2 linked regions of the Caenorhabditis elegans genome follow. The protein of the gene in region 1 purifies or fractionates together with the protein of each later gene. This does not show direct contact. Each region holds a gene or a part of one and is shown on either strand. Other genes may lie near its edges. The genes, in order: ksr-1 and ndk-1.

What was found.
Region 2: the proteins of ksr-1 (region 1) and ndk-1 purify together in Caenorhabditis elegans (affinity purification with western blotting, with the first as the bait; one study listed by BioGRID). This does not show direct contact.

What each region holds. Positions count from the first base shown.
Region 1 is NC_003284.9:8,273,350-8,278,459, forward strand, and holds the start of ksr-1 (Kinase suppressor of Ras A), read left to right. Parts: upstream 1-1,819; 5' UTR 1,820-1,869; coding exon 1,870-1,975; intron 1,976-2,017; coding exon 2,018-2,088; intron 2,089-2,729; coding exon 2,730-2,906; intron 2,907-4,060; coding exon 4,061-4,151; intron 4,152-5,110. UniProt on the Caenorhabditis elegans protein: Serine/threonine-protein kinase which positively regulates Ras-mediated signaling probably acting at the level of let-60/ras or/and lin-45/raf. Involved in sex myoblast migration.
Region 2 is NC_003279.8:10,552,344-10,555,921, reverse strand, and holds ndk-1 (Nucleoside diphosphate kinase), read left to right. Parts: upstream 1-2,008; 5' UTR 2,009-2,127; coding exon 2,128-2,180; intron 2,181-2,261; coding exon 2,262-2,355; intron 2,356-2,413; coding exon 2,414-2,728; 3' UTR 2,729-2,803; downstream 2,804-3,578. Other genes in the region: cert-1 (Ceramide transfer protein), read right to left, coding at 1-132, 179-493, 862-981, 1,032-1,197, 1,272-1,285; F25H2.4 (MPN domain-containing protein), read right to left, coding at 2,997-3,165, 3,216-3,514.

The sequences.
Region 1 (5,110 bases):
TTTTAAACAGCATTTTTTGAGAAGTCTCTTTTTAAAACACAGTCTAAACATTTTGGTCCATTAGTCGTCTTTTAAAACGTAATTGCTATTACTTCAGTACTTATATTTTACCCTAATTTTTGGCTAACTTTACCATAGTTTTTGGCACGTTCAACAAACTACCCATAATTACTTTCAAAATTTTCATCGAGCAGGAACAACATTTTTAATGTTGACTTTGCCGAGATGTTACACTAAATTAGTTGTGATCTGCCAGCAAACCAGGAACTAAAAGCTTGTTCAATGCATTCCTGGTATGAATCTTGACCTACTCTTAAGTTGATTACGCAACATTTTGAACACCTGTTGTGGTCTTCTCATTGCGGACCATTTTCTCTCACCCCATAGACATACAGTCTCCTCTCTCTCTTATTCATACACTATTCCCCCCATCCTCCCGTCTTCCCGACATTTTTGCGTCCTTTCCTACTATTCCTACTGTCAATCCACACCGTTCTCCCCTTTTCTCTTCATCACGTTCAAACAGTTTGTTTGCTTGCACGCCGATCTTTCTTCCTCTTTCTCTTTCCACAACTCTCAGCATTCTAGCATTATTTTCTCCAATATATTGAACAGTATTTGAATGCAACGTTTCTTTTAACTTCCGACCAAAGCCTTATGGCAATTTTTTCTCACAACTACTCTTTTCGGTCGGCATTGCTTAATTTTTAAGCGCCATACTGTTGTTCGGTATTTCATGTGAAAGCGAAAAATTAAAAAAGAAAGAAAAGTTAAGCTTCCTAATTTTTGTATTTGTGGTAGTTTTAATACGCAAAGCTAGGAAAATGTAAAACTCAAATTGATAAACTATAATTACTTAGGAGTGATGATAAAGGATAATCGATTTTTTAAGTGAAATAGTTGAATATTTCTACTCAATAAAAAAACACATTTAATATTGGTAGAGTACAATTATTGGATTTGGAACAGTATTCTAATTAAAGAAACAAAAGAAGCCAAAATAAAAGTAGAATGCCATTGAAAAAAATCGGGACATTGTGATGTAATAAGTCTAATCTAACCACCGGAAAAGAAAATGTGGTCGAAAATACCAATTCTTCTTTTCTTCTCGTCACTTCTAAATTGAGTAATGTACATAACCTGTCTCATAATTGTTCGCCACGCAACCTTCACAATTTCGATGGCAGAAAGCCGCCGAAAGCTTTTAATTTACTTTCCGGACGATTTCGACTTTTCTAGAAGGTTAATACACACCTTTTTTGAGTAGATGATGTTGTAATAGTAAACAAACTGTAAGCATACTTATATTGGTCATCGCAATTTGACTTTGAATTGTAAACATCCAATTGTGATGGAATTTGTAGGAAGAAAATATTGTAGATTTTACTAACTCATGAATTGAAATTTCTGACTGTACTGTGGGGCATACACATATTTTCTCTAATTGTCTTGCTCCCTTACAGTACGAATGCAAACCATACTAACAGAAAAAACTCGGCACTTTTCAATATTACTTGCTCGTTTGCTTTTCTAGTCATTTAACGCCTTTCTAAAGCACCAAATACATTCGTATTGCCCTGCTCCCACTACCACACATACATAAACGAAGGATGAGCTCACAGGGAGCCATTTGATAATTGCGACGACACACACACATACACAAAATGAGAAACCAAGCAAAAAAGAGTGTGGCGCACGTGTGAGCTCACAGCGTGCTCCGTTTGCACCGGGGATTTCCAAAAGTTGACCAAAAACCAGCACTGTTTTTTCTTGGCAACCTTTTGAACGTTGTGCTCAACCAACGAAAGATTTATTTCAGGGAAAAGATCCGGAGAAGGTAAAAACTAACCAATAATATCAATACACAGAATGATGCAAACCCAAGTTGCATCACGTGCGGGATACAGTAATCTACCGCAGTTTGGTGCAGGAATCGCACAGGATATAAAGACACAGGCTATAAATAATTTGAAGGGTTAGTAAAAAAAATTTAAAAAAAAACAATTCGAAGTTGCAGAATGTTTGAAACTTACCACTATCAATCGATTTTTGACTTCATCATACGAAGAAGATGCAAAAAGTGTAGAAGTAAGTTTTTTTGAAAAAAAAACAACTTTTGTAAAAATTCAAACTTCTCCTATTCGTGAGCATCGTTGTTTTATAAACTGTAAATAAATGAATTCAAGACAGACTAGTCTTCATTCAGCAGAAAAAATTTTTAAGATGCTTTAAAGTTTTGTTCATAAAATACACTATACATATATTGACACCTCAGTCCAAATTGTTTTAGATCTTTGTGGTAAACCAATCTGTGGTACTAAACGTTTTTCTAGACGTTTTCCGTTTATACTGTAAAGTTTATTTGTATAATTAAATTCTATAATGGTATTTTGATAATAAATTTAAAAAATTAAAAATTTAGATGCACAACTTCGTGCATGAAACGCTAATCGTTATATTTGAAAAACTGAAACTTACTTTCAAACAAATGTTGATTTTCAAATGTTTTAAATTTAGTGAGTTTATGATATTTTGAATATGAAAAAATATCAAAATATCAAAGCTTTTAAAAAATAGATTTAAAAACTTTAAGTGAATGTAACTCTTTTTTTCTACGAATTTTAGTAATCAAGATATCAGAGACAGATGAAAAGGTGAAACAACCTGAAACAAATGGTCTGAAATCTTTCATTGACGTCAACTAAATTCCAATGATTCTCAATTTACAGCGCAAAATATTCTCGGCCGTTTATCAAATGACAAAAATTGGTTTGATTGATCGCGAGAAGCGTGAGATCAACGCCATTTGGTTCACATTTGTCGGGCTCAGCGCACAAAACATTCGGCACTTGGAGATTTGCTCGATCACCGATTTCAATGCTCTGTTCAGCATCACTAACCAAGAGGTTTGATCCTTCTCTTTTTTGCTCTACCTTTTCTCTCTTTTCTCACACATCATTTCCTGATTTTACACCTAACAGAAACATACAAACACTCACAAATCGGGTTCTAGGCATATCTATATCCTTCTAAATGTCTTTCTGCTGATTCGGGTCACAACCTTCAACATTATCGTTTTATTCTTAAACTTCTTTTCATTTCCCTCTACGCTTCCCATTGGTTTGGGGTGTTTGGGAGTGCGCTTTGACGCTCTTTCCCTCTCGTTTTTCCGTTTCTGTTTCCGTCTCTTCTTTCTTTCTTTTCACCTTCTACTTTCTGCATTTCTCTCCTTTCCTTTCCCACTCTTCTCTTTCTCTAGAGGCCAGAAAACTGCAGCTCTCTCCGTTTTTTTCCTGATTTTTGTGAGCTAATTTGTTATCCAAAAAAAGAAGAGTAAACAGAAAAAGAGGATTAGGTTAATTGTTACCTATTGATATTCTGCTCATTGTTGTTTTTTAAGACTCACGAACTTTCTCTCAGCTAGCACATGCATAAGTCATGTATCTGACTGATTTTTATCATCTCATTTCGTAATTGTTTGAATTTGAGTTTCGACTTTTCATTTAGTCATTTTGCAGCAGGAAGTGTTTTTCGAAATGAAATTTGTCTTACTTTTATCTGACAAATCAACTAGTTTGGTAATTTTTCAGATTTAAAAATTTCCTTTTTTTCATTGAAGATTTTTTTAAAACTTGATTTGTCAAATTTTTTAAGATAACTTTACCATTTAATTTACAACAACATTGAACAAATCAATTGTTAAATTTGAATTCGAAACAAAACTTGAAAACTTCAAGTGGCCTTTCATATGATAATTGGCCAAAATATTAGAGTTGATTTTGAATGAATGTTTTTTGTGAGAACAACTATGCTGAAGCATTTCTGGAACATTCATTGTTTTTAGCGATCCAAAGCATACACGTTTTTGTTTTTTTGCATTGCCTCCGTATACTCGGTAACGTCATTCGTGTTCCAACAACACCTGTTACATTTCTACGAGTTGTTTTCACTCTTGTCTGCATGTTATCAAACTTCTATTGCTCGTTTCATTACTTTTAACCGAGTTTCTCTGTGCTCCGCCTTCTGAACATTTGAACCCAAACATAAAAGTTTATTTCAGTTGCGATCGCTTGCGGATCGTGGTCGTCTTGATGTGGAGACCAAACGAAAGTTGCTTCAATCTACAGTGATTTTACAAAATCACTGGAACGGTAAGTGTGCGGCAATTTGAAAATTTGTATTAAGTAAAATGTAGAAGAAAATAATTCTTGCCACGAAAATTTTGCAACTGTTATTTTTTGAAAATGTTCTCAAAATTCCTTACTTTTCTAGTTATTTTCATAAAAATTTATAGTCTCAAAACCAGTAATTTGACATTTTTTAATCAAACTTTAAAATTTAACTTTAATCAATCCCGAGATGGTAACTGCAAAATTAAAAAAAAACAAGACGGTTTTTATTAAAACAATTTTGAAGCATATTTTATACTGAGTTTGCTCCACTTCTTGAAAATTTAAATCACTGTCAAATGTTCAAACCCCATACATTTTAAAATTTGAATATTTTGAATGTAATTGAAATAAAAAATGGAAAATTTTATGATGGAGGACTTCCGCAAAAACTGGTGACCATTTAGTATTGAGCTTTTTGATTTTAAATAAAAAAAACTTTCCAAAGTTTTTGGAATAATTTTATTATGGTATATTTGATTATTTTTGTACCATAGGAATGGTTTTGAAAAACTTCCCCCGCAGATCGGAGTCCGCCTTCAAACGTCGTTTTCGGTTTATTTGTTAATTTTAGAATTAATACTTTAAGCAGCCTGAGAATTAAAAAATCAACCTTATTCTTTTATTCAAATTAAAATTTTTAAAATGTAGTGTAATGATACACATTGAACCAGCAAATTTGACATAGAAATACCGCACATCTTTCAAATGTTCTCTATGGTTCATCTACTTCGAAAAAATGTTGTGAAAATAATTTGTTCTTAGAATGAAACCTTTTCACAAAATGTTTATGGAATTGTTTTATTTTATTTAAAACATGTACAATTAATACAATTGATGTAATTTTGTCAGGAAAAGTGAATTAGATCATGTGATGTTTAATCATTCAGTTTTTGCAAACGTTCATGTAAATGATATACGGTATCAATTCAAAACAAACA
Region 2 (3,578 bases), on another chromosome or scaffold:
AGACATGTATTCTTGTTCAACAATAGATTCACGACGAAGAACAGAAGAAGAAACACTTCTAGTTGCACATAAAGGTTCCCGAAATGGTGGTGGAGTGGATGAAGAAGAAGATGGAATGTTTGGTATTACCACCTGAAAATTATTTGATTTAATTCTCAAACTATCAGCAAATTGTTACTTTAGAAGTCTTGACGAGATCCACGATATGATTAATATTAACAATCAATGCTAAATGTGTTGCTTTTACTGATAGAATCGTGGCTTGTGGGACAATACAACTGGCTCCACCTTGTTCCAGAAGTCTTTCGATTGATGTCATCTGATCCTTGCACATAGTTCGGTATGCTTCGAGTTCGGAGAGTTTCGTGGCAAAAAGCTTCGTTGATTCATTATCATCAGATTTTTGATTATTAGTAGCAAGAACTGAGGAAACCGATGGATTACGGGAATGACTTTTAGTGCTAGTCGAGCTATAATCCGAATCGTTTTGTACCTGAAAATTATTGATTTTCCCATTGAAGTTTTAACTTGATTTCTCTGATTCTAAAAGTAGAATTTCGAAGTGAACGATTTTTTATATTTTATAGCCTCGTACTATTCCCGAACTTTCAATTGACTTTTGTGTGCCACCGTCCGTACTATATATTTACACGGGATGACAAAATCAGGTAAAGATCAACAATGGTGTTTTTGATGTAAAAAGGAACATAAGAGAGGTGTTTGAACTATGATCGGAGCATATTTAAACGAAGAATATACAACTTTTTATCTCGTAATTACTCCGAGAGAATCGCTGGGGAAGTAATTTTTTGAAAAAATTATGTTTTAAAAATACCAAATTCAGATTCAGAAAACACTCACTGTTTCCCGGACAACTGATCGCATCCATAGAAGTTTTGACTGTGAATTCTCTGCTTTCAAATACCAGACAACGTTTTCGCCCATAGATATTGAGAATTCGTTTTCATCAAATTCGTGGGCCTAAATTTTTAAATATACAAGAACTTTCTGAGAAATCAATAAAAGCTCACAGCTATTATTGCACTTTTGAGAAATATGCTTCCTCTGCATCCGTGGGATTTTTCGGCTTTTGACAGATAATAAACAAGATTTCCCTCTGTGATTTCAAAGTATCGATCTTGCCATCCATTCACGTAGTTTGTCCATTTTTTCATCACCCCATTCGTGGGAAGGACACTGGAATGAGATAAATTATATTAGAATTTATCATTGAAACAATTTCTGTAATTTAAAATATCTACAAAACTCACACTTCGCTCTCCATCGGCTTCGTTCGCGAATCAGCAGGTGATAAATGATAAGACAGAGGCTCTCTTTCCGAGAGACTTTCCCCGTTTCGATACAGTTTTGCTCTCACTTTGTTCTGCAAACAAAGCTCACGGTTTGGTAGGCAAACAGTTAAATGGTAGTCGATGGCAGAAAAGAAAGAGTATAGACAACCTTACATTTAGTCGATTCTAAACATAGGGCGTCGAAGGTGGCGAATATGGGAGAACCGGTTTCCTTGTACTGCAAATAGTTTTGTGAAGTAGTGTCTGAAACGAAAAAAGAAATTTGCGGAGCCAGGTCATCAAGCATGAAATAAAGTTCGACGCGTAACGAGGCACAATAGTTTAATGGGAATATGCAGAGCGTTTGTGCTTGTTGCATGGAGACACGAAAAGCAGACATAAGTCATAGAACTTGAGACAAAGTGTAATAAACTATTTATGTCACACGCGTTTTTTCAGATATCAAATGCAGCGATTCACTTCTCAATGTGTTTTGACGTTACAGGTGACGTTAAATTCCGATTTTTGTTCAATAATCCCGATGAAATTTCATATGAAGAAAACCAGTTTGACAGAACATAATTCTCGCAAAAGGTTCAATTGGTGTCCAAAAAAATTGGTCGAAAACAGTGGTCAGTAAAGGCGCTCCATTGCAATTCTGGCACAAAGCCAAGAATGCTGCGAGGTCGGGTCTCGCCACGTGCTGAAGTACGGTTACACTCGTTTCATTTGTGTCGGAGTTGATTGAATGGGCGCCGGCGGGTTATTCTTTTCACTTGCGTTCGTCGCTGTCGCCTGTGCTGTTGACACCTGTTCCAAGTTGGATTGTCCGAAAATGAGCAACACTGAGAGAACCTTCATCGCCATCAAGCCTGATGGAGTCCACCGGTTAGTTATCTTTGAAGAAACTTATTCTAGCATCCTCAATGGATTTTAGGATTTTCAAAATCCTAATTTTTTAAATTTCAGTGGTCTCGTCGGAAAGATCATCGCTCGTTTTGAAGAGCGCGGATACAAGCTTGTTGCTCTCAAGCAGATGACCGCCTCCAAGGCCCATCTTGAGGTACGTTTTCACGAAATTACAAAATTTTAGGCCCAACCAGTTAAATTATTATTTTTAGGTTCACTACCAAGACCTCAAGGACAAACCATTCTTCCCATCCCTCATCGAGTACATGAGCTCTGGACCAGTCGTCGCCATGGTCTGGCAAGGACTTGACGTCGTCAAGCAAGGACGTTCCATGCTCGGAGCTACCAACCCACTCGCTTCCGCCCCAGGAACCATCCGCGGAGACTTCTGCATCCAAACCGGACGCAATATCTGCCACGGATCCGATGCCGTTGACTCTGCCAACCGCGAGATTGCTCACTGGTTCAAGCAGGAGGAGATCAACGACTACGCCAGCCCATTCATCAACTCATGGGTCTACGAATAAACTGATTGCTTATGTCTCCCGGTGTTTTCACCGTTTTCGTATCTCTGCTGAATGTTGATAAAGTATTGCTTCCCACCTAAAACATCGTTTTTGTTGACATCTATTCCTGCGCATTCTCTAATGCGTTTTCATGGCAACCAATCCTACACGACTCAGCTGTCATCAAATCTTTTATTCAACCCGAAAACGGAAGGGGATTAAACATATAATATATTCAGATGACTGCAATAAGTTATGAAAACACGAATTAGGATAATAATTTCAGCTTTTAAGCTCTGAATTCCGCCACTTGCACGAGTTTGTTGCTCAGATTTGTGTTATAGAAGTCGAACTCGGGATTGTCCAAATGGTTTTCGAAATCGGAAAGCTCTCGGTACAACTTCTTCTGAATAACAGCTTGAAGGCCACGCAAGAAGTTGGAACCTTGGAAAATCGTTCTGAAATGAATATACTAAATGAATATATAACATCAAATGTTTTTTCCTACTTCGTTTCTTTCCAACTATCTCCATCTTTTTCATATGCCACGAGGCGGTCTTGTTCACAATCTGACACCAGTCTTTCGTTCATCACTTGTACGAGAATCGCTGCCGAAGAGGTAACAGAAGATATTCTGTCGGCGAGTCGAGTGGCATAAACGTTGAGAGAAGTGTCCGATGGAGTTGCATTTGAGAAATAGACGCCGACGAGGGAGGCACCAAACTTTCCATGGACGAGGGCTGTGGCAAGTTCCAGAGGAGGTGCGAGTGGAGTGGATTCATGGCAAAGAGGAACACAACTTGTTACCTGGAAAATAAATTATCAGATAGGATGGCAAATTCATTAAATTAAAACATTTCCCTGACTCAGA